Tamandua tetradactyla: one gene and its partners. The protein of the gene in region 4 interacts with the protein of the main gene of each other region in a pairwise test. Links are inferred from orthologs where the notes say so. Each region holds a gene or a part of one and is shown on either strand. Other genes may lie near its edges.

Evidence for each region.
Region 1: the proteins of ERBB2 (region 4) and HDAC6 interact in a protein complementation assay, tested with the Homo sapiens proteins (2 studies listed by BioGRID and IntAct, with this or other methods). The link is inferred for Tamandua tetradactyla from reciprocal best matches to the Homo sapiens genes ERBB2 and HDAC6.
Region 2: the proteins of ERBB2 (region 4) and FGFR4 interact in a protein complementation assay, tested with the Homo sapiens proteins (2 studies listed by BioGRID, with this or other methods). The link is inferred for Tamandua tetradactyla from reciprocal best matches to the Homo sapiens genes ERBB2 and FGFR4.
Region 3: the proteins of ERBB2 (region 4) and PDGFRA interact in a protein complementation assay, tested with the Homo sapiens proteins (2 studies listed by BioGRID, with this or other methods). The link is inferred for Tamandua tetradactyla from reciprocal best matches to the Homo sapiens genes ERBB2 and PDGFRA.

The regions. Positions count from the first base shown.
Region 1 is NC_135353.1:121,434,224-121,441,961, forward strand, and holds the start of HDAC6 (protein deacetylase HDAC6), read right to left. Parts: upstream 3,014-7,738; 5' UTR 2,908-3,013; intron 2,884-2,907; exon of another isoform or gene 2,753-2,883; intron 2,702-2,752; exon of another isoform or gene 2,545-2,701; intron 2,476-2,544; exon of another isoform or gene 2,358-2,475; intron 2,341-2,357; exon of another isoform or gene 2,248-2,340; intron 1,859-2,247; 5' UTR 1,830-1,858; coding exon 1,734-1,829; intron 1,650-1,733; coding exon 1,521-1,649; intron 1,379-1,520; coding exon 1,290-1,378; intron 1-1,289.
Region 2 is NC_135346.1:58,737,106-58,744,036, reverse strand, and holds the start of FGFR4 (fibroblast growth factor receptor 4), read right to left. Parts: upstream 3,006-6,931; 5' UTR 2,844-3,005; intron 434-2,843; 5' UTR 382-433; coding exon 291-381; intron 1-290. UniProt on the Homo sapiens protein: Tyrosine-protein kinase that acts as a cell-surface receptor for fibroblast growth factors and plays a role in the regulation of cell proliferation, differentiation and migration, and in regulation of lipid metabolism, bile acid biosynthesis, glucose uptake, vitamin D metabolism and phosphate homeostasis.
Region 3 is NC_135345.1:54,468,753-54,476,673, reverse strand, and holds the start of PDGFRA (platelet-derived growth factor receptor alpha), read right to left. Parts: upstream 3,001-7,921; 5' UTR 2,772-3,000; coding exon 2,742-2,771; intron 2,286-2,741; exon of another isoform or gene 1,798-2,285; intron 1,247-1,797; exon of another isoform or gene 1,116-1,246; intron 828-1,115; exon of another isoform or gene 740-827; intron 296-739; exon of another isoform or gene 244-295; intron 1-243. UniProt on the Homo sapiens protein: Tyrosine-protein kinase that acts as a cell-surface receptor for PDGFA, PDGFB and PDGFC and plays an essential role in the regulation of embryonic development, cell proliferation, survival and chemotaxis.
Region 4 is NC_135332.1:27,586,171-27,594,164, forward strand, and holds the start of ERBB2 (receptor tyrosine-protein kinase erbB-2), read right to left. Parts: upstream 3,001-7,994; 5' UTR 2,725-3,000; coding exon 2,652-2,724; intron 1-2,651. UniProt on the Homo sapiens protein: Protein tyrosine kinase that is part of several cell surface receptor complexes, but that apparently needs a coreceptor for ligand binding. Essential component of a neuregulin-receptor complex, although neuregulins do not interact with it alone.

The DNA of each region.
Region 1 (7,738 bases), on a different chromosome or scaffold from region 4:
ATTCTTCTCCACATCACTTCTCTTTCTAACATACTATATAGTTTATTGGGGGTTTGTTGTTGTTGTTTACTGTCTTCCCCCTCTAAGATGTAACCTCCATGAGAAAGGGATTTCTGTTTGTTCTGCTTACTTTAGTATCCCTAACTCCTCCATAGATGCTAAAGATTTATTCAATAAATAAAAGGCAGACACAGTTTTTGCCATAATGAGTCTTATGTTAGGATAGATACTAACTGGTAAACAAACACATAAATATAGTAATTAACAATGACATGGGCTATGAAGATCTCTAAGACCAGGCGTGTTAGAGACTGGGGCAGGAAAAGACATTTGTGAGAAAGTCTCCTTGGGATGTGAATGATAAATACACATTAGCTGCTAGAGACGAAGGCAGAAACCTATCTCCTGAAAAGGGATCAGTCAGGGTAAAGACCTGAGGTGAGAGAGTTCCTGGCAGCTTTGAAGAACAGCAAGAGGACCAGTATGGGTAAGGCAAGGTGACTGAGGAGGGAGGGTGGAGTGATGAGACCACAGAAGTACGGCAGGGCCAGATCACATGAAAGAATGAAGAATTTGGACTTTACCTTACGGGCAGCAGTCTTTGCTTGAAGGATTTTAAGAAAGAGAATGTCATACGATACACATTTTTTTTAGGCTGCTGTGTGGGGAACAGACTGTAGGGATAGGTGTGGAAGGGGGGAGGGGGGAAATGAGGAGACCTCTGCAACATTCCAGGTGAATAGTGATGCTGAGTGCAGTGGGGGTGGTGAAGAGAGGTCAGATACTGAATATAATTTCAATGTAGAGCTACACGAATTTGGTGATGGATTACAACAAATGTGAAAAATAGGGCCAATGTGAGTGTAATTCTTCAGTTTCAGCACAAATCCCCTTTCCTCAAGAAGCCTTCTGGGGAAATGGGGATGCTAACTTAGGGCCATATCTTAAACACCCTTGAGTCCCCTGGACTTAAGTTCTCCTTCATTACACACTTCATACTGCTGTGTGGCTGTTTAATGGTCTGCTCTCCTACTCACCTATCAGCTTTGGGAGAGGGGATTCCTGTCTGTGTTTTCCACATTTGTATCACTAATCGGTGGCACAAAGGAGGTGCTCAACAATTGCTTGCTGGCTAAACGATAAGAACCCTTTCAAGCCTGAGTCACGTGTTCCTAAATCAATCAGCTTCCACAGTTCCTAGGCTGGCATAAGAAATGATTTGCTCTTCCTGATGGCTCAAAGTGGGTGGATGTGTGTGGTGCGGGATGGCCTAGAGGACCCAGCCTCACCTGTCATCCCAGAGGCAATGGAATTCATTTAGCTGCTCATCAAACACCAAGCCGGTGCCAGACAGTGCCCTGGCCTCAAGGTCCAGATCCTGCAGGGAAAAAAATGGGAGAGACAGATCCATTTAGGGCCTGAGTCAGAGGGGTCATCCTGTATGGTCCAGGATGGAGAACCTCAAGGTCTCAGGCTTTTGGTTGCTATGGGAGGCCAAACCGAGTCCAGGTCCCTCTCACCAGCCCTTGCAGCCCCATGATTAGGTCTTGCTCGGCTGTTGGGCTGAGCTTCTTCATTCTGCCTTTCTTCTTTACCTCCGCTAGACTGGGGCTGGAGCGGGGTCCAGCACCCTTTTTAACACCTCGCTTCTGCCGGGCAGAGAGAAGGGTCAGAGTCCAGGGGACGGCCCGCTGCTCCCCCTCCCCCTCATCAGAGCAGGTCTGAGGCCTCACCGCAGTGGTGACGCTGGAGTCGGAGACGTGGGGGGGCGAGTGGGGATTGTGCCTATTCCTTCGCTGCCTGGTGGAATCCTGGCCGATGGAAGTCATGGTCGGGGAGACTGCGACCTGCTGCGGTACTGGGGGAGTGGAGGTGACTGTGAGGGGGCTGGAAGTGCCTGAGGACCCCCACATTCCTGCCCCCTTCTCAGGCCCCACCCCATATACTATACTCCATCCATGCCTTCTAAACTCCGCCTCTCGTAAGACTCCCTCCCTTCACTGGGGTTTCCCTTCCACCTGGTCCCGCCCTTTCCACTAGACTCCACCCCTTTGACACTATTTTCTTACTCCTTTCAAAGCCTGGTCCTTTCACAGAGTCCTAAAGCCCCAGGCTCAGTCTGTTCTAGGGCCTGCGCTTCCCAGTTAGTCATCGCCCCTTCCGCTCCACCAAGGCTCATCCCCAGACCCTTTCATTCCTCTAAACCTAGTCCAGATTCCAGGGGAATTCCAGGCTGCATTCACATACCTGCCCTTTCCCGCCTATCTCCTGGGATAGTCACCCACCCCTCTCACTTAGCCAGACCCAGCCCCTGCCCCGACTCCACCCTGAGCGAAGCACTTAACTCCACCCCTTACCGGGCCGCACTTGCCCTTCTGCCAGATCCCGCCCCTAACGTTTCAATAAACCGCGCCCCCTCAAGGGACGGCTTCTTTCTTTCCACAGATCCCACCCCCGCCCAGACCCTACTCCCTGTTTCACCCAAGCCGCTTCGGCCAGTCCCGAGCCACCTCCCGCCAGTCTCCGCCCCCGAGGCCCACATACACCAATCTCTGGGTTCCGCTCACAGAGCGCAGCCCCTTTCTCAGACTCCGCCTCTTGCTCGTGCCGCCAAGCTCCCAGCGGCCTGCGGAGCACCCGGTGCCCGAGCCCTTCCTCTCCATTGGGCACGCTTTCTCGACCGCCAGCCCAGATCCCACCCACACCGGGCACCCTCCTTTCCGCGAGGCCCCACCCCTCGCGTCGGGCACACCTCCCGCTACTTCAGAAACGGGCGGCTGGCCGGCGCGTCAGCATGAGGCGCCAGTTGTTCAATACGGGATTTAAGCTTAAGCTGTACTTTCCCCCAGCTATCGTTGCGGTCGTCCGAGCTGCCACGGCCGTGCTCCTCCGCCCCTACCCCGTCACCTTGGGAGCCCTTCGGACCCGCGGCAACCGTGCCCTGCGACGATTCAAGACAGGGAGAGGGCGAGCAAGAGAAGGAAGGAGTTGGGAAGGGGCGTGTTCACACCGCCCCGCCGCTTCCCGCGCGGCGCCGGGTGATGACGTAACGCGGGCGGGTTGGCGCCGGCGAGTGAGGTTGAGGCGGGATGATGGCTGGTGGAGGCCAAAAATAGGAATGATGGTAACAATAAATGTGGTGGTTTATTCAGTGTTTCATGCTTTGGCTAAGGTGGCACACGTGGAACACTCACCGAACGTTAGCTGTTAATAGTCTGCTGTGACAAATGGGTGATGGGGAAGAGGGGCCCCAGCAGCTGTGAAGATAGCAAGTATTATGTGCCAGATGTTGTTAGCCACGACTCTATGAGGGATTTCCCATTGTTAACGCTACTTTGCAGATAAGGAAGCAGGTTCTTCGATTAGCCATGTGACCTTGGTCAAGTTCCGAATGTCTCTGTGCTTCAGTTTCCTCATCTGGAAAATTGTGATAATAATAATAGTGCCCAGGGCCAGAATGGACCAGGAGTTTTTCACGGCTGGCTGGTCTCCCTATCTGCCCCCTCCACCGGATAACCTCTGCTCCCAAGTTGCATGGGAAAGTGTGAGTGTGCCGGCCTCGGGCTCCCGTACCTCCACCCCCACCCCTGTCTAAATATCTGCCCCGCGGGGAGGCCGGTTTGTCTTTCCTAATCTCCCTCTCTCATTCTCTACCATTTCCTACCCGGCCGCAGGCTGGGGCGGGAGAGATAAGCGGTCTGGGGTTCAGCATCGCTGACTAATAAGCAGATTGACAACCTCACTGCCCAGTAGCCGGGCCTTCTGACTCCTTTGAGGTTCCCAGTTCCAGCCCCCTCTTCCTTTTCACTCTTTTCCTGCTGTCTTTTCTCCAAGTGGAAGAAGGCCACAGACTTAAGACCTTTAAACCTCCACATACACCAAAGAAACACATATGAAGTGATACACACTGGGGGACATTCTGGGATTGTGATGTCTGCAAAGCAGGGAGTCTTGTAAAAGGTCAAGGCCTATAGTTCTGTATAGTCAGGAGATTAATTCCTGTAGAACAGGGGTCAGCAAACTTTCGATAAAGGGCAGGAAGGCAAATATTTTAGGATTTGTAAGCTGCTTGAAGTCTCTGTGGCATAATTTTGTTTTCTTCTCTTTTTCACACCCCTTTCAGAAGGTAAAAACAGGCAGTGGGCTGGGCTTGGCTGGCTGACAATAGTTTTTCAATACTTGCTGTAGAGTGTCATTCTTTGGTTTTCATTACCTGGCTAGGATTCTTTTCAAGGATGAAAGCAGGGGTTCCAGGCTGCATGAGGAGAGGTATTCCTTTTGTGTGAGATGTGAGGACAGGGACTCTTGGATAGGATCAGGTCACTCCTGACCTTTCTCTACTGTGTCAAGCAAATGTCCCTTGATAGGGGAGTGCACAGAGGTTCCTGAACTTTCTGTTCCTCTACTGGATCAAGCAGGGGTTTCTATACAGCACAAGAAAGGTGTTCCTAGAGAGCTCCAGACTAGGGGAACCTGTCCAAGTTCAGGATGGGGCTCCTTAGACTGAATTATGGCAGGTTCCTACAAACAGATCAGGGTTAGGACAGGTTTTTCTGAACAGGTTCAGTACTTGTGATCATATAGATAGTAAGATCATATGATCATGCCTAGATTCAGGTCAAGAGACTGTTATTCATTAAAATAAATTATGCTAGCTGCTATAACAAACCAACCCAGAATCTCAGGGGCTTAACAAATGACTAGTGGATCATTCATGGACCAGGAGACCTCCATTTTGTGGCTGTACTCTCCTCTAGGTCCTTGGAGATTTTTTTCTCTTCAGCCAGTAGGTGGGGAAGGAAAGGGAGAGTGGAGGTCTGCCAGGGAAGTTTTTATGAGCCAGGAGAAGTGGTATGTATCACTTTGGCACATGTTCTGTTGGCCAGAATTCAGCTTGTGTCCCATCTGGCAGAGGTTGCAAGGGAGGTTGGAAAAGATAGAGTAGGCTCAGGAAGAAAGGGAACAGGCTTTGATGAACCCATGGCAGAGTCTACTCCAAGATTCTATTGACTCCATAGAGCTCCACTGTCCAATATGGTAGGTACTAGCCACATGTGGCTAATTAACCCTTGAAATGTGGCTCGCCCTAATTGGAATGGGTTATAAGTGTAAAATACCAAATTTACAAAGTTACAAATTTGTATTTGTAATTTTACAAATTTGTAAATTTAAAAATTTACAAATTTGTATTTGTAAAATACAAATATTGAATATTTGTATATAATGTGGTGCTGGTTTGAAACTGTTCTGTACCCTAGAAAATGTCATGTTCTTTTAATCCATTCTTGTGGATGCAGACCTGTTGGGGTGGGATCTTTTGATCAGGTTATTTCCATGGAGATGCGGCCCACCCAATTCAAGGTGAGTCTTAATCCCCTTTCTGGAGTCCTTTATGAGAGGATGCAGAGAAAAACCCAGAGACATTTTGGAGAGACCTCAGAGCCGAGAGAGTTTAGAGAGAGAAAATGCCCCGGGAGAAGCAAGAAGGGCCCACAGGAGCTGAGGGAGCCACACTGAAGCCAGAAGCTGGGAGAGAAGGATCAGCAGACATTGCCATGCCCCTTCCCATGTGTCAGAGGAACCCCGGATGCCATCAGCTTTTCTTCAGATAAGATATTGTCCTATTGATGCCTTAATTGGGACATTTTCATGGCCTTAGAACTGTATATTTGTAAACTAATAAATTTCCATTATAAAAACCAACCCATTCCTGGTATATTGCATTCTGGCAGTTTTAACAAACTAAAGCAAATGGGTAAAGTAAAATACACCATTAAAATTAATTTCACCTGTTTCTTTTCCTTTTTTAAAAAATGTGGCTGCATGAACATTTAAAATGACACGTGACTCTCATTATATTTCTGTCGGACAACACCGCTATAGAAAATTATGTTTAAAGTATTGGGACAGGCGTTCTTGTACTGAGCAGGGATATGGGTTTCTCTACAGAGTCCAGTTAGTGTTTCCTGTCTGGGATATGGAAAATGATTCTATTACAATGCAAGGCAGGTTTATAGGAAAAGATGCTAGTTGGAGACATTGTGGCGTGAGAGGGAAGGATGTGAAGGGCACTTTTCTCCCTGAACAGGTAAAGATTAGATGCTCCTTTGGAGGCCAGGAAAGTTACTTTCTATAGGATCACAACATGCTCAGGATGGTCAGGATTGGGTTCCTGTAGAGAGAGCGGTGGATCAGATAATCATGTTGAGGGTTAGGCCTGGGGTTCTCCTGCAGACTTGAGACAGATGTTCATGGAAATTCAGGCTATTGGTTGTTTAACAATTTCAGAACAGGGGTTCCTATAGAGAGTAGGTATATTTGTATTGGTTCATTTCTTGGATTCCTGTGAAGAGTTAGATCAAAGGTTCCTGTTGAGTAAATGTAGGGTTTTCTGTAGCAACTCAAGACACAGGTTCCTGCTGAGAGTCATGGAGGGTAGTCCTGTGCAGGGTCAGGACAGAAATCCTGTACAGTTAGGAAGGACACTGTTTCCTTCAGAGATTCAGGTGAGTGTTCTTCTTTTGCAGCAGGACAGTGGTTCTTTTTATTTTTTTTTTCACATGGGCAGGCACCGGGAATCAAACCCGGGTCTCCGCCATGGCAGGCAAGAACTCTGCCTGCTGAGCCACCATGGCCCGCCCAGGACAGTGGTTCTTATACAAGGTGAAGACAGGACTTCTGGGACAAGGCCAGCATAAGGGTTATTATGGAAAGTCAGATCAGGGCTTCCTGTTCAGTGTCAGGACTATGTTTCCAGAGAGTAAGGTCAAGAGTTCCAATAAAGGATTAGATCAGAGGTTCCCATAAATGACTAAAGTAAAGGATTTCTCTTGAGGTTCAGGAAAAGGTTTTCTACAGAGAGTCAGATCAGAAGTTCCTGAGTGGTTGTAAGGAAAGGGTTCCTGCAGAGGGTCAGGGAGGTAAATCTAACATAGGGGAAGGAAAAGTGTTCCTACATGGTGTAAGGACAGGGAGCCCCATAAAGCATCAGTAAACAGTACCTGTATAATGTCTGGGCAGGAAGTCTGGTACCAGTTGAGGTCACAGGGGGCTCCGTGAGGGTAGAGAGTCAGAACAGGGGTCCCAGCCACAGCGTCAGGAAATAATTTTCTACAGGTTTGAGACTGAGGCTCATACTGAGAGTTGGATTATGGATTCCTGTAGACCTGATGGTGTAGGGCGTGAGGTCAGGGATTGTGTAGAATGGGGTCAGGGGTTCCTGTACATTATGAATGCAAGAGTTTCTATATTCGAATCAGAGCTGGGTTCCTGAAGAGTTTAAGGACAGGTATTTCTATACTGAGAGAGAGCCAGGTCAGTGGTTCAGCACTTGGGTTTTTGTTGAGATTCAAGGTAGGAATTCCTGAAAGAAGTTCCTATACGTTGTCAGGCTTTGACAACACATTAACATCAACTGGGGAACTTGAGAAAGTACTACTGGAACAACAGAAAATAGACAAAAAGAGTACCTACTATGTGATTCCATTTATTTAACGTTCCTAACCAGGCAAAATTAATCTATGGAAATCAGGATAGTTATCTTTGTGGGAGTGGGGAGATGAGGAAGACTGGAAGTGGGCATGAGGAGGGCTTCTGATGGGATTGGTCATATTTTGCCTCTTGATCTGGGTTCTGCTCTGGAGCTGGGCTCACTCCATGTAAACCATTGTGTTGGTAGCTTACAGTGTATGCACTTAAGACGAAAAATACCGACGCTTGGGTTCTATCCAAGACCAGA
Region 2 (6,931 bases), on a different chromosome or scaffold from region 4:
TCCTGGACATGAGATAGATGGACACTAGCTGGGAGCCAACCTTCAGCATTTGGCAGTTTTTCTGATCTGACCCCACTCCTTATGGCATGGCTGTCAGTTCCATGGCCAGCTTTGGATACTTCCAGTGGCAGCACATTCCAAGATACCACGTCTCAATGATGGGGACCTGCCCTGCCACCACCCCCTCGGGGCCTGGCCCAGGAGCCCCTCCAGCCTATCTCAGCCAGCAGCCCCCTCCTGGTGCCTGCTATTTCCGCCCCTGCCGCCCGCTCCCACCTGAGCGGCCATACCCAGCTCCACTTCCTCAGAGGCCTCCAGGGACAAGGTTGGGGCCCTGGGTACCGCCAGCAGGACCCCCAACAGGGTCAACAGCAGGAGCATCTCCTTCCTGCGGCTCACACGGATCTGGGCTGGGCTTCCCGCGACTGCTTTCCTGAAACAGGGAGGGAGAAGACCTCAAGCCGCACGCCCACCTGTGTTGGCATTATCCCATTTTGCAGATGAGGAAACCGAGCAAGACATGGTCAGCAGGCTGGTCCAGGCCGACAGTCAGGCAGCAGCGGGGCAGAAACTGGAGCCATCTCTGCTGACGCCAGAGCCCAAGGCCTCCCCACATCAGGTTGTGTAAGGTGGGCTGGGGCGGGTTTCCTGCACTCCTTGGGTCCTGCTGAGACTTTGGCATGAGTTCACAGAAAAGGGCAGTTCAGGGAGTCTTTCCTTGGAGGGAAGCAGAGAACGGAGACACATCCTCTGCTCACTCTCAGCACACATCATTTATTATTATTTTTTTTTCTGAATAAATGAATTTACTGCTGAAGAGCCCCAAAGAAAAAAAAACTGAAATGTATTTTCAGGCCAAGCTTCAGCATTTGGCAGTTATTCTGATCTGACCCCACTCCTTATGGCATGGCTGTCAGTTCCATGGCCAGCTTTGGATACTTCCAGTGGCAGCACATTCCACATTAAGCAGCAAGGTCTTCCTTATTCTGAACCAGAGTTGTCGACCTCCACCCCCACCCCCCACAATTCCAACCCCCCCATAATTCCATCTGAGGCAACACAGGGTTTTGTGAAGAATGCAGACTTGAGTGTCAAAAAGACAAGTTAAATACTGACTCCAATTTGCAAATCTCTGTCCCTTTCTGGGTCACTTTCCTTGCAGGACTGCTTTGAGGACAAAAAAAAAAAAAGATACTCTGTGTAGGGGGGCTGGTCCTGCAGAATGTCAAAATGTTCTCCTCCTTGCAGCCCCCCATGCCAGGTCTGCCCTCACTCAGCCAGTCACCTCCAGTTCTAAGGTTGTTCCTATCACGTGTGATGAACCCAATCCTTCCATCCAGGTTACTCTCCAACAAATGCCACTGAGGCAGATGTGTCCCCCACAAGGAACACTGGCCCAGATGGGGCAGGCGGATAGGCTGATCACCGTCCAGTGGCTGGGAACAACCCACTGGCTGTTACCGGGGGCCGGGTAACAACCAGGAACACCAGTGACTCTGGATCTACCTTGCTCAGAAAGCAAGTAGATCCATCACATCCTTTCTCCTCAGCTACTGTCCCTTGTCCAGCTCCCCATCTGAGGCAGTGGGCACTCAGCCTGTCCTGGTGAGAGCCATCATCTTCCCCCTTCAAACTGGTCCTTCCTTGGGTTGCCCTGACTATAAACTGCCCGATCATTAGAGTCAGCAGCTGGGGAATCACCCCCTTCAGCCCCTGTCCTCTGCCCTCCCTCCACCCTATTTCCAGAGGATCCCACATTCTGTCTGTTCTGCCTCTTCCATTCCTCTCCATTCCTTCCCACTCCCCTGCCCTGAACTGGGGCAGGTCACGGTCATCTCTCACGTGGGTCTTTACAAATATCTCCTCCCTGGGCTCTTCAGCCTCCACCCTCCACCAGGGCCTTAAAAAAATGCACGTCTGACATGTCACCCTCCAGCTTACAAGTCCTTAGTGGCTACCTGCGTCCTGCAGGATCAAGTCCAAACTGTTTATCCAGCACCCCAGACCTCCCTCCTCAACCTCACCAATCTCTCCGGTCTCACTGACTGCCCATTCAGGAGCACGGACATCACTGGCTTTCAAAACTGAACACATCTGCTCTCTTGCCCATACCTCTTCTCCACTTGGCTAGGGCTCAGATGCCACCGTCGCTGGGCTCCCTCCCCTCCTCTTTTCAGTGGCCCCCTGCTCCTCCCTTCACTCTGCACGGTGCGCAGCACTCTGCATCCAGAGCTCAGGCTGGGAGTGGGGTGGAGAGGCCCGGGGGTTTTATTTCCACCCTCAGTATCCCGACCTCAGAACCTCAGGGCATTACGGGTCAACCAAGGCCGCTGATAGCCCAATCCAGAGAGGGCAGCCGGCCCTTGGTTCCATCTGGCAGCCACGGGTTCTCCTCCTGCCTTCCGCACTCACGCGCTGGGGAACCCTAGGCAAGTGACTGCATCACTCGGAGCCTCAGCTTCTTCATCTCTAAGCCGGGCATGCAGACGGCCCAGTGGCCCTGGGACGAGTGTCCGTCTTCCCCCTCCCCCCCACTGAGCCACCTTAGGGGGAGGGATGGGCCGGCGCGTCCCGAGGGGGGAGTTGCGGAGAGGGTCGGCCCGCCCGCCCCCGCCCGGGTAGGCAATGAGTAACCAGCTCCGCGGCCAGGGTGCTCTTTGGACGGAGCGGGACAAAAGGCCCTGTGTGCGCCGCGGGTTACTGATTTACCTCCCCCTCCGCCACCCCGCCAAGCGGACGCCCAGGTCCGCCGCGCTGGGAGCCGGCAGCCCCCGGAGCCCCGCAGCCTCTCGCCCCCTGGCGGCGGGGAGCACAGCCGGGGCCCGCACCGGGTCCCAGCTCACCTCAAGCCTTCGTGGCTGCGCTCCCGTCACAGGGTCTCCGCTCACCTGGCGGCTCCACGGCCCCGCCCCCGCGCCCGGCCGGGCCCGCAGACAGCCCGGGCGCGTGTCCGCCCGGGGCGGGAGAGCCAGAAATGCACCCACCAGCACCGCGGGGCCAGGGGCGGCCCAGGGCCCCGCCCACTCCGGCCCCGCCCGCCCCCCGGCCCCTCCCCGCCTGGACCGGCTCTATCCTGACAGCGGCGTGAAAGCTGGCAGCTTAGCGCCCCACCCACAACAGGCCCCGCCCACCAAGGGCCCCGCCCCGCCTGGACCAGCGCTATCCTGACAGCGGCTTGGCCCAGGACAACCCAGAGCCCCGCCCACCTCGAGCCCCGCCCCGCCCACTGGGACTGGCGGAACCCGGGACAGGCTCGGCTGAATTCCGGGGTCCTTCCTGCTGCCAGCCCCCTCAGACTCCGCCTCTTTCGCAGCACTTCCAAGTTCTAGACCACTTACTGGTGGGTAGACCCCGTGCTCTTCACCCCACTAGGAACGAGATCCAGCCCGCCCGCCGTAAGCAGACCTTGGCCCAACCTGGCCCCTTTGTTCTTAGGCGCGTTCGCCCGCCCCCTCAAATCCATTCTCTGCGCAACTTCCAGAATATTTGAAACACAGATCAGACTACATCCACCAACCCATTTCCATTTTCCAGTAGCTGTGAGTAGCAACTGGAAAATTTAAAAATATAAACATTTTTGGCAAAACCTGGTCCTTGCTCATTTGCACGTGCCGTTCCCTCTTTCTGGAACGCTCTGTCCCTTCTTGGGCTGATTACATTTATTTTTAGGTCTTAGCTCAAAAAGCACTTCCTCAGAGAAGCCCTCTGGACTTGGCAGGGTCTCTCTGGCTTCTTTTCGGTTTGTGAGACTGGACCCGGTGGGCTCAAATCTCAGCTACCGCGCGCGCTTGGTGGGTTACTTTGTGTCTTCATCTTCTCGTCAGTAAGATGGGTATAATGATTATACCATCCTCAGGAGGTTTTTGCAAACAGTAGACGTATCAGGGTGAATAATCCTTCAGAACGCTCCCTGGCATATGGCATTTGCTTTGTAATGTTAGCTGTGATTATTTTGGACACGTTATTTCTCATCACTCTCGCCAGAATGGTCAACTGTGTAAATAGTTGCGTAATGCTAAGCTCCTAAAAGGCAGGAACTGAGCCTGCATTCCTTGCCATTTTATCTCAAGTACGTGGCCCGGTAGGTGCCTCACGAGAAGCTCCGCCCCCACCCAGCTCAGGTGGACCTCACCTGTAAGTTCTTCTCTCTTGACCATCTAGACTATGGTCTAGACCTATGACCCCTGCTCACTCCTCACCTGAAGTCCAAGCTCTGGGCTCCTCTGAAGGATCCTTGAGGAAAAAGGAAACCCTTCAGCTTGAGTCTCAGGCCCACCTCAGATTTTCCCTAGGGCTAGTGGAGACCTTGCCCTATGAGAAACAGCTGCCTTCTGCATTATTATGCAGAACAGTCTAGTTTTTCCCCAAGTTCACTCCCAATGAGAGAGCAGCTTCACCTTTGCATAACCAAAAGATCGATTAAAGTGATTTTTTTTCCTCCTTCTGAACCGAAAGAAGGGTTTCCTCCCAGAGATAAATCAGAAGATAATTGTCTACAAAAAGCAGCTTGTCCTGATTGCCCTCATTCTGGGGCCTGCTTTGCTAGAGCACCCAGAAAGAATGTCATGCCTGGCGCTGGGGATTCCAGCAAATGAGGGCTGCCAGGAGGTCTGGCAAAGCCTCCAGTGGGCAGCGGCTCTCCTGGACTATTGGAGAGGCTCCCATCCCTGGCCCTCTGCTTGTGAATGTAGTTGTTAGGGGCCAAGACAGGCTGCTGGCAGGAGCTGGGCCCAACACAGCTTTCGCTCAACCTCCAGGCATCTCCCAGGTTTACCTGAGCCAAAGGCTTTCCTAGCCGAGGCCTGGCAACCTCCCTGTCTCCTGAAATGCCCTCATCCCCCAGGACACTGTGTAAGAAGGTGTTTCCTATATCCCTTGTCAGGCCCCTCTCCTTCTCACACCTCTCACACTGAGCCTCTGCAGAGTCTTGACACTCTCATAAGGTCATTCATTCATTCACTCATTCACCAAGTGTTTATGGAAGGTTTGGTATGTGGAGCGCACCATTCTAAATCCTGGGGATCAGGCAGTGACTCAGACATGTCCTCTACCCCTCAAGGAGCTGCTGACGTTGTAGTGGGGAGAAGCAGACAAGTAAACAGTGCATAGGGAGGCAGGCTGAGGGCATCTGGGAGAGGCACGGTTTTAGTTTCCTAGGCTGCTCAAAGCTGATACCATGAAATGGGTTAGCTTAGAAAATGGGAATTTATTAGCTTACAGTTTGTGACTGAGAAAATGTCCACATCAAGGCATCATCAAGGCAAGGCTATCTTCCCGAAGACTGGCCGCTGGTGGTCCTCGACTGCTCTGCCACATGGCGAGGCACATGGCGGCGTCCGCTGGTCTCTTCCTGCTCTTCCAGGTTTCCTTGCTTTCGGCTTCTTGCTTAGGCGGCTTTTTCTCCCTCTCTCCACATTCATTCCCCTTTAGAAAGAACTCCGGTCAGAGGATTAAACCCATCCTATGAGGTGGGTCACACCTTAACTGAAGTAGTCTCATCAAAAGGTCCCACGTGCAATGAATTTACATCCTCAGGAATGGATTAGATGCCAGATCATGTTTTCTGGGGAATATTCAGCCTCAAACCACTATAACACCCAAGCCTGTTTCTCTCTCACTGACTCACTCTGTTGCTAACATAAAATATTTCCCCAGTTACACATGCAATCTCTCTCTCAAAGATGTTCAAACGTCCACACACATGCATATACACACACCACCTCCTTTCACTTCTCAGGGAATCAGGAGCGTGCTAGCCTAACATACTGATCCTGGCTTGCTTCTGCCTCAGTTTTTCTATGCAGGAAATGGACTACACTCCTGTGTCCAGCTTTCCAGGGGTGTCTGGGGAAAATGAATGAGTTAACAGGTGGGGTGAGTTTCACCAGAATGGCAAGTAAGGTGGAAGTCCTTGCCTTGCTAGTTGCGTTGGACATGCATTATATCCTTTAATCCTGCCACCAAGCCAAATGGTGTGGGGATCCTTGACTCAGTTTTGCAGGAGAGAAAATAGAAGCTCAGGTTGCTGGAGTGACTGGTCTGAAGTCACACATAGCCAGCAAACAGCAGAACTGGAACTCGAACCCGGGTCCTCTGGGGCCCGCAAGGAGAGCCCAGGGTGACTCTCCACAGAGTCAGGGTGGCTGATGCCACCACTTCGACCCGTTTTCTGTCTCCATCCCCAACTGTGGCCTGGGGGGTTGGAGATTCACCTGACGGTGAGCTGTGGGGGTGGGGTCTGGGTACTTCTCCCCATGCCCATGGGGGTGCCTGTGCTGATGGGGCACCCACGATGTACCAGGCCCAAAGCCATGGGGTGCAGACTCTGGGCTCCCAGAGTGCCGAGGTGGGCAGGCCCCTCCTGCCTAGAAGCAGAGTCAGGGGAGGGAAAGCAGGCATTGCCTGGGGACAGTGACGTTGCTCTTGAATGGCAGTTGGGCTGGGGAACACTGGGCTCTTGTGTGGAAGGGCTGCTGCTGAGCCAGCCCAGTCCCTGCCCAGGCCCCACTCCAGCTCCAGCCCAGCTCAGGCCTGGCCCTCACCCCATCCTCTGAACCAGTCTAGTTTTGTTTTTTTTTTTTTCCCTTTTATTCTTTCCTTCTAAAACAATGTTTTGAGAGAGTTTAAAGATAAACACACAGGGCACAGGGTAAAATCATAACGCGCTCTACTCTGAATTGACAACTGTTATGATTTTTTCCAACCTCTTTTCTACCCTGGTCCCCCCCCAAGGGAGGACCGACTCAGGAGGGCAGAGTGGAAGCAACTTTGATAACAATTTGAATAGTTGAAGGTTGGGCTTTAGGGTCAGCCAAACCTGGGTTTTTTTTTGGCATGGGCAGGCCCTGGGAATCAAACCCAGGTCTCCGGCATGGCAGATGAGAATTCTGCCACTGAGCCACCATTGCACTGCCCTTCCACAAGCCTGAGG
Region 3 (7,921 bases), on a different chromosome or scaffold from region 4:
GGACGGGAACTCAGATACTCCCGTCCATCCAGCACCTCCAGGGCCACACTGTCCCTGCAAGCCGTCTACACGATCCCTCAAGAACCGGGAAAGATGGCCCGGGTTATTTATTCTGGGACCCCCGCCCTTAGCTCCCAACTCCGCGCTTCGACACGGCGGTGGCGCCGACCGCCCGGGGCTGACGGAAAGCAGGACTACGGTTCGGTAGTCCGCCAGAGGGCGCAGCAGCCCTGCGAATCTTACCCAGCTGGCTTGCCCGCGGCTCAAGCTCCCGGTCACCGACAGCGCAGCTCGCACCGCGACTCGAAAACCTTCTGCCGGGAGGCTTTGCGCTGGCACGGTCCTCCCCCAGCTCCGCCACACCCACACCAACGCGGTTTGGGCCGCTCCTCGCCCCAGTCACCTCCACGCCCTCGGAAGCTCGGTCTTCCCAGGGTTGGTGGCGATGCCCCACGGGTTCCACGGCCCCTCTCCCCTGCCTGCTGCGCTCCGGAGCTCAGCGCTGCAGCGGCCGCCCGGTCCCAAGCCCAACTCCGGGCGTTTGCATTGTTTTGGGTTGAGACCTGCGAGGGGGGCGGGCGGGGTGGAGGGAGAGGGACCCGGGGGTTTAGAGTTACAGCCGCGCGCCAGCGCCTCCTATGGGCCTGAAGGAGGCACAGCCGCAGGCTGCGACTCGTCAGGAAGACCGGAATGAACCAAGCCTGTGCCCCTCTCGGCTTTTAAGAACCCGGGTGCTCACCTTGTCCGACGTTCGCCTTTGCCGCAGTTACCCCGCGCACTCGCGCTTCCTCCCGACTCTGAACCTCTCGCTCCTCCTTCGCTACGGGCTACGGTGGGAGGCAAGGAAGTTAGCGCCCCAAACCCCGGATCCTCTATATTTCACCCACCCACCCCTAGTCCGGCTCCTAGTCTGCTTTTCCTGGCTTGGCGTTCAGTTTTAAACAAAAGCAAAGGCCGCCGAGCCACTTCTAAGAAGACAAGTATCGGCGGAGTCCGAACAAGGAGTTTGCCACTGGATCCTGCACCTTCGACCGCGGGCAATCCAGCTAGACATCCCGACGGCTGGTGCCGAGCACAAACCCCGCGAGGCTGGACGCGCGGGACACTAAGCGCACCTTTTGGCTAAGTCTTTCCCCAGAATTGCTGCTTCTCCACTAGTAACATGAAACCTCCTCGGAGGCAGGAGGGAACCCCGCCCTCCAAGGTCTGCAGGAGGTCGCTGGCCACCACGTCTCCAGGACGCGTCGCGGCACGCCGCCCACGACCGGTCCCCAGGAGGCTCACGGTCGACCCGCCTCGGCGCCAGACGCTTTTGCAACTGGAAAGCCCGACTCTATGCCCCTCCCCCTGCACCCCTCCCCACCCCGCCGCCCTTAGCGAAGCGGTCCCGGGGCCGAGAGCTGGCAGTCCCCGCTCTTCACTGCGTCTCTATCTCTGTCTAAAGACCCAAGCAAGGGCAGGAGTACCCGGGGACAGAAGCAGACGCCTTCCTGGCGCCTCCCCACCGCTTCCTCCGCACCACCCCCTCGCTCTCTGGACTCGTTTTGGAGTCCAGCTGCAGTTGGGTCAAACCAACAGCGGGAATGTGCAAGAGCTCCAAAGCAGGGACCAACCCGGGCGTCAAAGTGAGGCTGGGCGGGCCCCCACCTGAGGGGAACGGAGGAAGGGCCCCTCATCCTGGAGAAGGTCGAGAGGGAGGGGGAAGATGAGGGAGGGGGAAGATGGGGGAGGGGATGCGACGCAACTACGCCAGGGTCCGGGTTGACCAAGTAGAGGGCGGGGTGTAACAGACAGAACCTCGCTCTGCAGTGGGTGAGGTGCTCACGCCTCGGGCACCGCTTCCTCTCATCCTGCGGCCCCGGGGACTCGCTCTCCTCTGAGGTGCTGATGGGATGAGGTGTGCGGCTGAGAACTGTGGTGCTCCATTTGCCCTGGATGCCTCCCCTTGCTCCAAAAAGCTGACTAGTCCTGCTTGGGAGTGACCGCGGCGAGGCGAGGCGAGGCGAGGCGGTCCAAAACATTGAGCAATTCGGCCGGGGAGCCAAAAAGTCATTTCCCACACCTCCCAGCCCGGGGCTTTTCCAGTGAGTACGGGCGGGCGTGGGGCGACTCCAACCTAATAGGGGCCGTCCACGCTCCCTTTCCAGCTTCCCACCCTTGGAAATGGGAGTCCAAATGGCAAGTCTGTTTTTCAGACAGCCTTTCTGCAAATCCTGAGGTCTTAGCCGCGCAGGCGGAGGGAAGCGCGAGACTAGCGCTCTGGCTGCGGAAAAGACCCTCCGCGGCAAGACAGCCCAGAACTTCCTTCCCGGCCGAAACTCTGGACCAGGCCACCCGGGAGCTCCCGCACACCTGGCTTGGCGGCCAAGGTTCCCGGCCCCTCGGGCTGCTGGACTCGGGTGGGGCCACACTCCCTTTCGTTCCGAACTGGCCGAGACCTTTCCAGACAGAACCTCTGAGCCCAGATGTTTTCCAGCCAAATGGGCGCCGCCCGCTCCCCTGACGCTGCCTGGAGAAGTTACCCTCACGGGTAAAAAGCCGATTTCCTTGGGGATAAACGGCGGAGAAAGGAAGGGCTCTAGGAGATGGCGCAGGGCGAGCACAGACTGCGAGTGTCACACATCCCCGCACGTAGAAGGACACACGGCGGGGGTGGGGAGGAGGAGGAGCATCCAGAATTCCAGTGCTGGGAAGGAGAAGGGAGAGGGGAGGGCTGTTCACCTCCCACCTTTCTGTCTTACCTGGAACCAAGCCTCTCCGTTCCAAGCCATTTCTAATTTCCCCAAAAGAAGTTCGGCACTTTTCTGGCGATTTCCTTTCTTCCTTCCTGCGGCCGGGACTGGCCAGCAGCACAGCCCCGGGTTCCCCTGGAGGAGGGGAGCGCGCAGCGACGGATGGGAGGTGGGGGACCACCGCGCACAATGAAGACCCCTAGGAGCACCGTTCGAAATTCCTCAAATCACAGTTGCTGGAATGCGAGGCGACGACGACTTCTTCACTCCGGGCCAAATGTGTTTGTCATTACTCCAGAACGCCCGCGCGGTCGCGCGGCCGCCGCCCCCGGGCAAGGACGCGCAATCCAAGAGTACTGCGGCGCCCACTCTGGCTCTTCCTCGCACCTCCCTGACCCGGCAACACCCTGGGAAGCACCCCAAACTCTCGTGCAAGCCCGAGCTCTGTCTGCTCGTCTTGCAGCCGCAAGCAGATGTGCTGACTCTGGACTCTGCTTGTACCCGGCGTAGCGCCGTCCAGTAATTACGCGTGCTCGGCCGGCGCCGTGTGTACCCGGCAGGCACCCGCGGTCCTGCCTCCTCCAGCCGAACCCTTCACGCCTCCCCCGCCCTGCAGCCCCATTTCCTCGCCGCTCTCGGCGGTCTTTTCTTTCCAGCGTACCCCAGCTGCGCTCCACACCGCGGGCTGCATCTCTGTCCAGCCAAACCACGGGCGAGGAATGAAAATATTCATTAAAAACCTGTCGCCTTCCAGGACCCAATGCCAAGAGGGCAAAACACCTCTGCTCCCACCCCCAGCATTACTTGGTACTCTTCCCAGCATCCACGAATACCACCCCCATCCCTAAAAGAAACCTCAAAAATGCCTAAACAATTTTGGGGGAGGCCATAGGGTTGTTAGAAAAACACTACTAAAATAGGCCTGGAAAATGTGTTGTTTTAAAATCCCCAGACTTTCTAACTCAGTATTATCTTCCTCCCAAGTGAAGTTTATTCAGAATAATTATTCTCTGGGCATACAACAGGAATTCAGTTCCAAATTTTTTTTTCCCCCATCGTCCAAAGTTTGAGTGAAGTTACTTCGCTTCTTCCAGCCCAAGGACCTGATCAAGGACTTCCCATGGAAACAACAATCACTTTTTCCCTCCCTTACCTTCTCCTATGTTAATCAGCAATGAAAATCCTACACATCGAGAAAAAAAAGTCCAAATCTTCAGCTCTCTCTTGTGGTCTCTTCCTCTGTTTCTCTCCCTCTAGCTCCGACTGTATTGGGCTCAAACACCGCGTTTTGTAATTGATTCAATGTTATAGTCCATCCTTCTAAAACTAATCATTTGCTCTAAGTAAATAGCTGTCAGGAAACGAAGCCCCCCCTCGGCCTCTTCAAAATAAAAGTTTCCCTCAAACTCCCGACTCTCTGAATCTCCCAGCCTTCAGATTGTGCCTTCGCTTTTTGCTCTTATGCAACCAGGGGGTCCAGCCCCAACCCTCAGGTTTCAACAACAACTGGTGGGGGGGTGAGGGCGGGGAGAAGCAGACCAGATGGGGTGGGGGTGGTGGAAGGGGGAGGTGTTGATGCTCTGCCGGGAAAGACGTTTCGTTTCGTAAAAATACAAATTGCCCATCATTCCAGAATGAGATTGCCTCCTGACTTGGGAGATACTTTCCTCAGCTCCCATACTGCTTTGTATCCTCTTTAAAAGAAGTAAAAGAATACATAAAATTGCTGTTAATTGACAAAGAGAATATAAATCCGGAATCAAGAAATGTCCTGTCTAGAGAAGCTCCTGGCCCAACTGGAAATGGGACTCTCTGGAGGGCTCCAAGTGGTTGAGTTGTTTCGAACCAGGAGTCTTTTAGGGAAAGTGCCCTGTAGTTGCTAATCCTTTAATGGGATTAGGCAAACTGTTGAGTCCAATACGGCAATGATGTGTTGTGTGTGTGGGAGGTGGGTATGTGTGTACCCGCGCGGGCACGCGCGTGTGTTTGAATGGCTGGGGTCTGAAAGGGAATACAAAGACTCTAGACTCTGCATAGGTTTGGAACATACTCCTACAGAAAGACCTTTACTCCCAAGAAGCCACTTATTGTGCCTTTGTTTTCGGAGTTATCAGGGTAAGGTTGCCCTGGCTACCTCCCATAGAAAATGACTCCGGCTTGGGAGACTGTGGAACTGTCAACAACAAGCCAGCCACCTTCTAGTCCTGGGGATGGGAGTATTTTGACGCCACTTGTGTTCCCACCGCCGCGCGGGTCGGACCCTATGAATGCCTTGGGGTTGAGAGTGGAGCCCCAAATCCTGTGCCCAAGGCGCTAGGCAAAGAGATGGTGTTGGGAGAGAACAATGCTGCTTACAAGGGAAAGGGGGCGCTGACGCTCCAGGAACCAGACCTGGGTCGAGAGCGGGGGATGGGAGAGCTTTCACCTTCCCCGCTTGCTGTAATTTTGAATTCTGTAGTTGAGGGGAGGGGGGCATCCTTTATCTCCCTTCACTAACACACACAGTCAGAGTGGCTAAGGCGGTCAGGTTTGGACTGGCACGTGGGAAAGCCATCACCTCCCTCACCGGGTGGACACAGGGAGACCCTCAGGGGAGGCTCACAAAAAATTACTCCAAGGAGCTAGGTGCCAGGTTTAACCCGGGCGGGCTCCGGAGTGCCAGGCCCAGGAAGAGGGCGCCTGGGGCTCGGCTTGGGGGCCCCACTCCCCGGGCCCTTCTGCGTGCCCGCCTCTCATGCATCTTCAGCTCGGGTGACTTGCACAGCCCGCTATTACTTCCACATGTTCCTTCAGGAAATCATTGAAGGCAAATATATGAACAGCCCCTTGTTCAGAATGCTAACAGGATACCGTAATGTTTGTAGATAATGAACGGGAACTAACATTCCTTCTCCCCCACCCCCCACCCCCCAAATCAGAGCACAGAATAAAAGTTGATAAGCAGCGGACCAGCTTTCAGACTGTTGTTAAAGACGAATTGAGAGCGGGGTTTTTATCCCAGGTGCCCAAGAGGGCAGGAGGCGAGACAGAAAGCCTAGCCTGGAGGGCCTGCGGTGCTGCCGGGAAACTGCTAGCCGGGTCTCCCGCTTGAGGGGCCCCAGCGCTCCCCCGCCCACAAATGGTAACTTCACAGTTCATTTCGGAGCCGCTTTAAAGGGGCCCGAAAAGCGGGCTGGGCGGGGGCGACTTCGGACGGTAACTCCTCGAGAGTTTAAAGCAGAGAGAATGGATGAGCCCAGCAAGCACCCAGTTGTCCTTCTGGTAGTGATTACCTGCCTAATTTGAATGATGCCTTTGTTATGATCATTAACAAACTTTTGCTAAAGGTTTCCATGTGTGACATTCTGGAAGGTTGAAAGGCCTGGGGAAGCTGACTCCGTGGACAGCGCGCCGGTGGGGGGTGACCCAGGGAAGCAAATGGTTGGGGGAAGAGTTCGTGGAATCTGGACCAAGCAAAGATGGAGAGCGGGCACCATCTGCCTCCCCGGCAAAAGCAAAATAAACCTCAAGGACTGGAGTTAGCTCGGGGCAGGGGGTCCACGAACCGAGGTGGTTGGTTAAACCTTCCTCATGGGCGGGTTTTCTGCCCTTTGCGGCTGGTCAGAGGCTTTGGGAGGTCGGGTGCGAGACCGTCAGTCAGACCAGCGCGTTGGGGGGCGGCGGGGGTGTGCGCGAGCAGAACCGCTCTCCTCCCGTGTTGTCCTAAGATCCTTCCAGATTGCTCCCCACGACGCCCCGGGTCCTGGGTGGTCCGGGAGCCGGATTCGGCAAGAAGTACTGCCCGGGCCGAGGCGGGCCGCGGGGTCTTTCCTCCTCTTCCTGGGCTTCTGGCGGGGACCGCCGTCCTGTGCCCCGCAAAGTGACCTTCGCCGGCGAGGGCTGCTCTGCGAAGGTCCCAACCCGCCCCCGGATTTTTTCTTTAAAGGAGCATCAAGGGGTTAAGAATGAGGGTTTTCTCTCCTCAAGGGGTTAAAAACCGGAGTCCTGTCGGCCTTGGGCTGAGGGGGAAGGAGACCTAAATCCTAAATTGAATCTGGCTGGAAAATTTAGGGAAAGGGGTAGGGGGCGCAGCGTTTAGGGGAGTGGCCTCGTGCGTCTAGGCCCTCAGACAAAGTGAAATCGGGAGGAGGTGTAGCGATCCAGCCAATATTCCAAAACAGAATCCTGTGAACTTTTTTGCAACTGAAATGGTCACTGAAAACAAAGACAGAATCTCGCCCTGCCCTTCCTCTCCTGGTTGAGGGCAGTTGCGACTCAGAACTCCCACCTTAGATTTTCGTGGGCATTTCCCACTGCCTTGACTTTTTGTTTCTCCTCTGCAGCATCCCAACTCCATTTCCCAATTCTACTTTCCTCGGAGAATTCAAAAGGTCCTTTTGCTTTAGAAGACTTGGGATTGTAGCAGTTATCAAAGCTGTTAGTTGTGAAATTCTGGCTTCACGATTTGAAAACGAAGGACAATTTTGTAGTTTGCAAAAGGAAAATGCCCCGACTGTCCCATCCTCCCTTCGCCTAGAGGCTGGAAGGAACCTTTGCTGGGAAGGCTCTGAGCAGCCTTGTGGATGCAGTGATGAGGGGAGGGGGTTCCCTGCAGGGAGACGGCGCCAACAGTCAGCCCTTGCCTCTAGCCTACCCCTTCTGAGGCTCCCAAGCTTGCTTGGTGCCTCTTTGCACACTTGGAATTCAGAGAGGGCCAAGTCCTGGAAAACTAAGAGGAAGAGGGCTCCAGGCTGGCCTGTGTACCTTGGGGTGATAGTTTGCTTTCTCACCACCATCTCCTCACACATTTGTCGGTGACTCCTGGCTGCATCTAACCCGGCAGCACCTCTTCTGGTTCCTAGGGGGCTCTCCATCCCTGCTCCCTCTTCCAGGGCAAAGTACAAAGCAGTTTCCAGTGCATCGTGACTTGCTACATCCTCTACAAATGATTCCTAACACCACAGCCTGGTTACTGGCCTGAAGACCAGGGCAGTGAACTGCGTTTTGGGAACTCTCGTAACAGAGCTGGGCCATATGCTTCTCAGCTGGGGAAAGATGTGGTAGGTCTATACCTCCATGGGGTCTGGATATTTTGATATCCTTTTCCATGGGAGAGAGCCACTTCCTCAATCCAAGGGTGTTCTTGTGCCTCTTACTTCCCTCTCCTCTATAAGGCTTAGTTTTTAGTTACTTTTAATTTGAAAAACCAT
Region 4 (7,994 bases):
CCTGCCATGATGGGAGGGCTCAAAATCAAAAGGAAGGCAAGCATGGGCTGGCCTGGGAGGGAGAGGACCCCGCAGCCGGGAAGGGAGCTCAGGGCCCCAGCTCAGGATGGGGTGGAGGAAGACAGCCCCACTTTCTATAGCCTAGATAAACCGATGGGAGGTCATCCACCTGAATGGGCTTTGCTCAACCCATTCCCGGGGAATGGAATAAGTCTCTGATCTACTGCTGAGACCTCCTCTCTGGAGCCAAACATGCCCTGGACGGTACTGATTAGCTGGCTTGAATAAACCGCTTCATTTCCCTGAACTTCAGTTTTCCAATCTGTGCACATACTTCGCAGGACCTTTGCAGAGGTGAAATGAAACTGTCTGTGGGTAAGAAGGTGACACGTAGGAAACACTCAGGACATTTTTTAAAGTTAAGGCAGAAGCATGGGTAATCCCAAACCAAGAGAAAATAAAAAGTGCTTCCTATTTGACATTGGAATGGGATAGATGTTTTCTTTTGACATTTGATCCTATCTTTCTATTGTTTTCTCTTGAATATTAAAATGAGGTCACTTTCCCTAAGTATAGTAAAAAGAAGGAAGGAGGCTGCTGGGAGAACGATTCTGGAAATAATAACATATGAGCTGTGCAAGATAAAAAGGATGTGTTTGCTGAAATTTTATAAAACCTTGCAGAAAGGATCTCAGCAAAATCCTGACCCTCTGAGCCTTCCCCAAGTCTCCCCTCCACCCCATGTTCCTGCCCCTTCCTTCAGCCATGGACAATAATGGGGGTGCTGGAGGCAGCTGGGTGGTGGGCTGCCATTTTAGCCAATCCCTATACAACGCACCCAGAGTCTCTCTCTGCACCCCACAGTGCAAGCTGAGGGGTGAGGGAGACGCGAGGAGACCCCAGGAGACAGCTCCTCAGATCGCTCTGCAGCAACCCCGCCGCTCCCCACCTGCTCAACTCCCAGGCCAAGGCAAGGAGGATAGCAACTCGGCCCGATCGCCAAGCCTGGCCTCACCCTTCTCCTCAGAAGGTCAGGGGTGAAGACGTCCGCCTGGGTTCAGGGAGAAAGAGGACGGGCTCACCGGGAAAGAGGCGCCTCCTTCCTCAGAGACAAGGCAGGAGGCCACCTCCCGCTGTTTACAACCGATCTAGCCCAGCACCTTGAGGGAATTCCTTGAGAGGGCAGAGTTCAGCCCAGTCCCCAAGGGGGCAGGGAGACTGCTGTTTGGCAACACAGAGCAGAGACATACAAACACTCAGTCCACACAACTCAGGAACACCCTGGCAAAAGCGGGCAGCTTCGGACACCCACAGGAACTCTCCAGACAACACAGCAATGCCCAGACAGAGGGGCCCTCAGGCAACACGCGGCCCACACCAGACTCCCTGACCCGGGGAGACCACCCACTACTGTCGGAACACTCTCATTTTGTCTTCCCTCCAGCCCGGTGATGCGGGTAGCAGCTCCCACCATTCAAGGGGGATTGATTTCCCCTTTGATTGAATATAGTGATTTTGAGAATGAGGCTGGGGGTCAGGCTGGCTGGGGTCAGGGGTGGGCCCCACCACTTCCCGGCTGTTACTGAGCCTCCTTACGGTCCAGGTCTTCACCAGGACAATGGAAACAGGACTTCTCCCACTGGGTGGCTGAGGGTGAAAGGAGGGAATGCGCACAGGACGCCATACCAGGACCTGACATAGGGTGTACCACCGGGACACGTCTGCGTTTCTCAGCATCACCTACAGGTGGGCAGATACTCCTCGCAGAACACACCTCGCCCCCCACATCACCCTTCCCCACACAGGGCATGAAAGAAAAGGCTGCCAGACAGCCCAGCCTCCCCCACAAGAGCCCCGGAATCCCTCCCTCGGAACTCTCCCACTTCAGGTCCCAGACCCACCACCGCCAACACACACACGCTCCCAAAGTCACAAAACACCCAGGCCCCCAGTCAGTTGGCCCTAAAGAAACTTGTTCAAAACGACCCGCCTCTCCCTCCCCCTACTCCAGACCCCAGCATAAGGCAACTCTGCAGCCTCCTGCCCCCCCTCCTCCCCCTGGGCTGGACAGGTTGCTCTCCCCGCCTCCCCCCTCTACACCCGGACCCTGCTTGGAGCTGGAGTCACCAAATTCTAGCTGCTGGAGGGGAGGAGGGGAGGAGGGGGGAAGGGCTGGGCAGGGACAGGGCGGAGGGGACCCCCAAAGGAATCCAGCCCAGACCAGTCGGGAGGCGGAGGCTGCCAACTGGAAAAACTGCGAAGGCTTCAAGGGGTTCAAGAAGGGGAACACACACACACACACACACACACACACACACCACGCACACCACGCAGTATACCCTTGGGGGAGAAGCTTTCTGAACAATTCCAAAGGACTTTGCTGACAAGTTCGCAGAGCAGTTTGGAGTCTGGGAAGGGCCAGTCGGTCCCTCGACTACGGCTGCGTGGGTGCGATCGCCCCCCTGCCCCAACTACTTCGCCCCCTCCCTCTGTCCCAAGGCCCGGCCACCCCGAGCGCCCCGAGTGCCCACTACTCCAGGTCGGGACAGCTCGGGTGTCCCCTGCCCCCGCGCGTCCGGGGAGCTCTCAGGGGGGACGCAGGCTGCAGGGGCTTCTGTCGCTGCTCCATCCCCTCCCCACGCCAGACCCACCTTGGGTGCCCGCGGCTCTGGGGGGCAGCAGGGCGAGGAGGAGCCCCCAGCGGCACCAGGCCGCCAGCTCCATGGTGCTCACAGCGGCTCCGGCCCCATGGCTCCGGCTGGACCAGGCTGGGGGGCGCCGGGCAGGCGAGAGAAGGGGGCCGGGCGCTCCGCGCGGAACCCGGCAGCCGGAGGAGGGGCGTGCGGAGGCCTCGGGGGGCTTCTTCTCGTCTCTCTGGCCACGGTCGAGGGAAATCTCAGCTCCACAACTTCATTCTTGCACTTCCTCAAGGCAGCCCGTCCTCCTCCACCTCCTCCTCCTCCAGTGATTGGGAGCGAGCGCGCTCGCAGCTCGCCCCCCCCCCCCCCCAACTGCATTCCAGCAAGTCTCTGGGAGTGGCAACTCCCAGCTTCACTTTCTCCCTCTCTCCGCGCAGGCCTGCCGGGGGCCCCTCCCAGCGCCCGGACGCCTGGGTTTCCTACAGCCGATCCCAACCATTTCCACGAAGAACCCCTAAAAGCAGAGGAGAGGGGCTCGTCCGCCTCTCCCCGGATTCTGGGGCCAATTCTTTAAGGCCCGGCTGCCATCCCTTCCCTCTCTTCTAAGTTGCAGGTTTATCTTAAACATTCCTGGCGTGTTTGCATCCTACTCCATCACATGCCTATTTGTCCTAATATCAAATAATGGTTTTCCCACCATATCCTCAGGTGAAATTGGTACTTAAGGAAGGGGATGCCTTGTGTTTAACTTCTGGCTTCCAGGACTGCCTGGCATAGCCTCTGGACTCTTTTAGCTATCTTCCCTAGTCTAAAAAGCTGGTTGTAAGGGAATCTACAGATTTGAGGAGAAGAGTTCAAATTAGAGGGGACTTCAGCCGCATCCTTCAAAGGATATACCTCTTGTTTCTTTATGGGGCTCCCAGTCCCCAATTCATTCAAGGTTTCTGCTCTGTCCCCTGCCTTTTGTTACCCTGTTCCATTGCAGCTCCCCACCCTGCATTCCACCTGGACCCCTGACCCTGTTCTTAAGACCCCGAGTGATGGGGGAGGAGAGGGGGTTGAAAGGGAAGGAGGCATGTTTTTGTTGGAAATTCCCACAAAGTAGTGCGTGGGACACACGTATAATAACAAACTATTCGTTGTTTATCTGAAATTCAAATTTAACTGGGCTTCCTTATTTTATTTGCTAAATCTGGCAAGTCTTCTTGGAATACCGTAGCCAGGAGCAACATCTGTGCTGACCAAGAGGGGGATCAGGACACCTGCTGGGGACTGGAGAATGAAGGACACTAGAATTTCTTAGTGCTTACTTGTGCCGAACACCTGTGGGAGGCTGAGAGCAGCAGGGGCTCTGGGATCAGAATGACCTGGGTTCAAATCTCTGGACTCTACCACCTGTTTGTTAGCTTTATGACTTTGGGCAAGTGACCGAGTCTTCTGAGTTTGCTCATCTGTAAAATAGAGTCTGTAATGGCATCAGGCCTACTGTGCTAGGGGGTAAATGAAATAACGCTCCTGAAGCACTTAGCACAGGACTCGGCACATAGTAGCTGCTCAATAAATCGACTGGATTTCCTTCTACTGGGGCAGAACCGGGTTTTGTGGGGCCTGAAGCTTATATGATGTGGGAGACGCTCTTTAAGAAAAGAAGTACAAAGTTATGAATACAAATTTAAGTACAATGACGGTAGCACAACATTGTGAATGTAATTAACACCACTAAATTATATATTTGAATGTGGGCAAAGGGGGAAATTTTAGGTTGTATATATGGTACTAGAACAAAAATTTTAAAAAAACCTAGGACTGTACAACACAAACAGTGAACGCTAATGGACCATAGAGTATAGTTAATAGTGTAATTATGAGAATATTGTGTCATCAATTTAACAAAGATACCACAGTTATACAAATTATTAGTAATAGGGAAAGTTGTATGTGTGAGGAAAGGTGTATATTTTCTGCATGATTTTTCTGTAAACCTATAATTTATTTTTAAAAATTAATTTTTAAAAAAAGAAAATAATTAAGTACAAAATTATGCACATATATGCAGATAAGGGGCCTGAAACTGTAACCTTTCTTAACCCTATGGTAAATCCGCCCCCGCCCCAGCTCTAACCAGTACTGTTCAAACCGCAGGTCAGATTCATCATTAGAGGGCCCCGAAACCAATTTAAATGATTAAGACTAGACTTTTGTTTGTTTGTTTGTTTTAAGAAATAGAATGTAATAGAAAAGATCGGCGCACATCCCGTGGAGTAAGAACATAGTAAGGGTAAGTGTGGTTTTGTATGTAGTTTCCAGTTCGTGATGTAAAATGAATTTATTCCTTGGATTATAATCACAAATGTTTGGAAACACCATTGTTCCTGGGGACACAATAGCCCGCCAGGACGGGCATCAAGATTCCTGTTTTCTCTAGGTGTTAGAATTAGAATTAGAGTTAAGTAATTTGCCCAGGGCTGTTTTAGGGTTAACTAGGAAAAAGTTGAACATCCAGCAAAACCAGCCCCTCTTCCCTAAGGAAGAGGGTATAGGATTTAGTTAACTTGCCTCAAACCCACAGCATCTCAGCCCCTCAGGGAGAAAAGGTGTTGACCTGGTTCCAAGAGTTACTTGGTGGTGAAATATTCGAGGGAGGGCTGGTACGTGGGTGATCGCACGTGCAGCTGGTGGGAGACCATCAGGATATTACCATAGGGTCAGGGTTTGAGGTGTCCCTTTCCCCTGGAACATGCTTTTCCCCAGCCCTTGTGTTAGGAAAAGCTTGTGCAGCCAGGAAAGCTGCTGTTGTACCATCCTTTATTGGATCCTTCTCTGTGCCATCCTCTGTCCTACATCCACCTTCCTTCTCACACTGGCTCCTCGAGGCACCAGGGGTGGCTGTTATCATTCCCCATTTTACAGGGAAGGAACCCGGAGATCCTGAGAGGTAAAGGAACTTGTCTAAGACCACACAGCAGAGGCAGAACCTGAGGCTTCTGAAAGCTTTGGCTTCATCCATTAGTTTCGAGAGCTCTGAATCAAGGGGTACCATGAACCCCCCTGGGGTGGGGGAGCCAGAGGAGATTTCTCAGGGTAAATCCCTCCTTCTACAAAGAGTCCCTCCCTCTACCCCTGCCCTGCCTCAGCAAGCCCCCCTCTCTGCATTGGAGATCTTAAGAACAAACCCCTGGCTGGCATACAAGGCTGCCCAGAGGGGCGGAGCCAACCAGAGACCGGGCAGAGAGGGGGTGGGGGGGAGGAGCTGGGGTCAGAACTCACGCTGTGGGGAGGAGGCTCGAGAGGGGCCGAATCTACTAGAGAGAATGAGCCCATTCAGAGCCAGAAAGGAAGGGGAAAAAACCTTGTCTGGTGTTTGACAAGAGGAGAGGAAGGGGGGCAGGGGTGGGCGCTGCTGATTTGATTCTCTCCTCTGCTGCCCCTCCCAGCGGGGCCTGGCAGGAGAGCCATGGAAAGAGGATGCCTGAAGGACAAAGACAGTGGGGGAAACATCAGGGAGCGGGATAGGGCCGGTTGTTGGAGGAGTTTGAGAGGGGCCTAGAGTGAGGGAGGCTGGGTACCAAGGAAGGGCCTGACTGCAGGTCAGAGGGTAACAAGCCAAGGGCCCGAGGGGCAGATGCATGAGATTTGCCTGAGAAGATCTTTGGACAACAGTTACTGGGCCTGTGGGCTGTGGAAGTGGCCACCAGCACTGAAGAGGCCCAACGCGAGACCCTGACTTATAGAGGTGACCTCTGAGGGTCTGAAACCAACAACCTGTGAAATGCCAATCAATCATTGACCAGCCACTGAAACTTGGGGGCATGTGAGGCTGTGTGTGTGTGTATGTGTTTGTGTGTGTACGCCTGTGTGTGTCTGTGTACACCCTGGAGTCTCCTCCCCACTGCCTACCTCACTAGCCAGCCAAGGGTCAGAGGATTGAAAACAAACAGAAAAGGGGAGGGGAAAGTCCACAGTCCGAGGTCCAGGCCTCAAGCCAGAGCCTACCAGGCAGGGCCTCCAGTCTGGGGCACGGGTTGTAGAGGAAGTGTTGGTATGAATTCAATGGAAGGAATCCCTGAGAAAAGCAGGCACAAGGCCTTCCTGGGGCCACAGGAAAGTAACTTGGAAGCTTCTGATAAGAAGACGGATCAATTCACTTGTAGCCTAACCACACGGGAGACTGCTCCCCAGGCCCAGGGTTAGCGAGTGGGTAGAGGCCAAGCTCACCAGAGAAACACCAGCCTTGTTCTTGCTGATGATGGCCCTTAGCTCTTCTCACCTGTCTCGGGAATGCAGGCTCAGGAGGCGAAGAGATTGCCCTTCTCTCTCCCTTTCTCTCCCTGGGCTGCTTTGCAGAAACAAAATGACTCTTCTGTCCTCCACCTCACCTGGTTTAATGCATGGCATGAAGGCAGAGTGCCTTCCACCCCAGCCTCTGCACACAGGGCTGTCCTGGGTGCGTTTCTGTGCCCTCATTTTTCATGAGTGGGTCTCTCCTTGGATGGTAGCTTTGCTGTGTGGCCTTGGATGATTCTTCACTTTACCGTCTGAAATAGGAGAAAGTTGGCTTGGATAGTTCCTGGTCGGTCACAGTGTTTTAGGTTTTGGTGTGGGAGCAGTGACCTCTCCAATCCCAACTCTTGAAAGCCCCACTGGGCCCTCCCTCTCCTGGATTCCTTGTCTCACAAGCACTGGGCCAACCCACTCATCCTGAAGCACACCCCCCTCGCTGCTGGAGGACAGACCACTAAGGGTGAATGAATATGTCCGTGCCTCTGACTTTTGATTTTGGGAGGAGGGGACTAGGAAGCTACCAGAAGCATAAAACTATGGCAATCATGAGATCCTGGTTTGGGGGGACAGTTAGAGTTTCAGATGATCAGTTCACTGAACTTACATTGCTGATTTTTCTTGCCTTGTCCAGTCCTTTAAATCTACCGATTCCTCTTCCAATATCTCTATGCTACTTTTTCCATCTCCCCCCCACCCCCTCCTCACCAGCTAATCTAAACTCTATTATTTCTCTTCTGGGCTACAGCCACCAGCCTTTGGTCTTTCAAATGCTACTTTTGCCCCCTACAATCTTTCTTTTCTTTTTTTTTTTTTTCACAGCAGCCAAATAAACATTTTTAAAGAAAAATTCAGAGCATGTTATTCAATCCAGTTCTAAAACAACCCCAGTGGCTTCCCATTGCCTACACTCTTCACCATGGCCTGTGAGACCCAATAGGATCTGATCTCTGACTGATGCTTCAGTGTCCCTCAATGCTGCAGGCTCCGTGCTCACAGCATTCCAGCATGCTGGATGCTGCTCTGTTCTTCAAAGATGATAACCTCATTCCTGTCTTCTGGCCTTTCTTGGCGCTG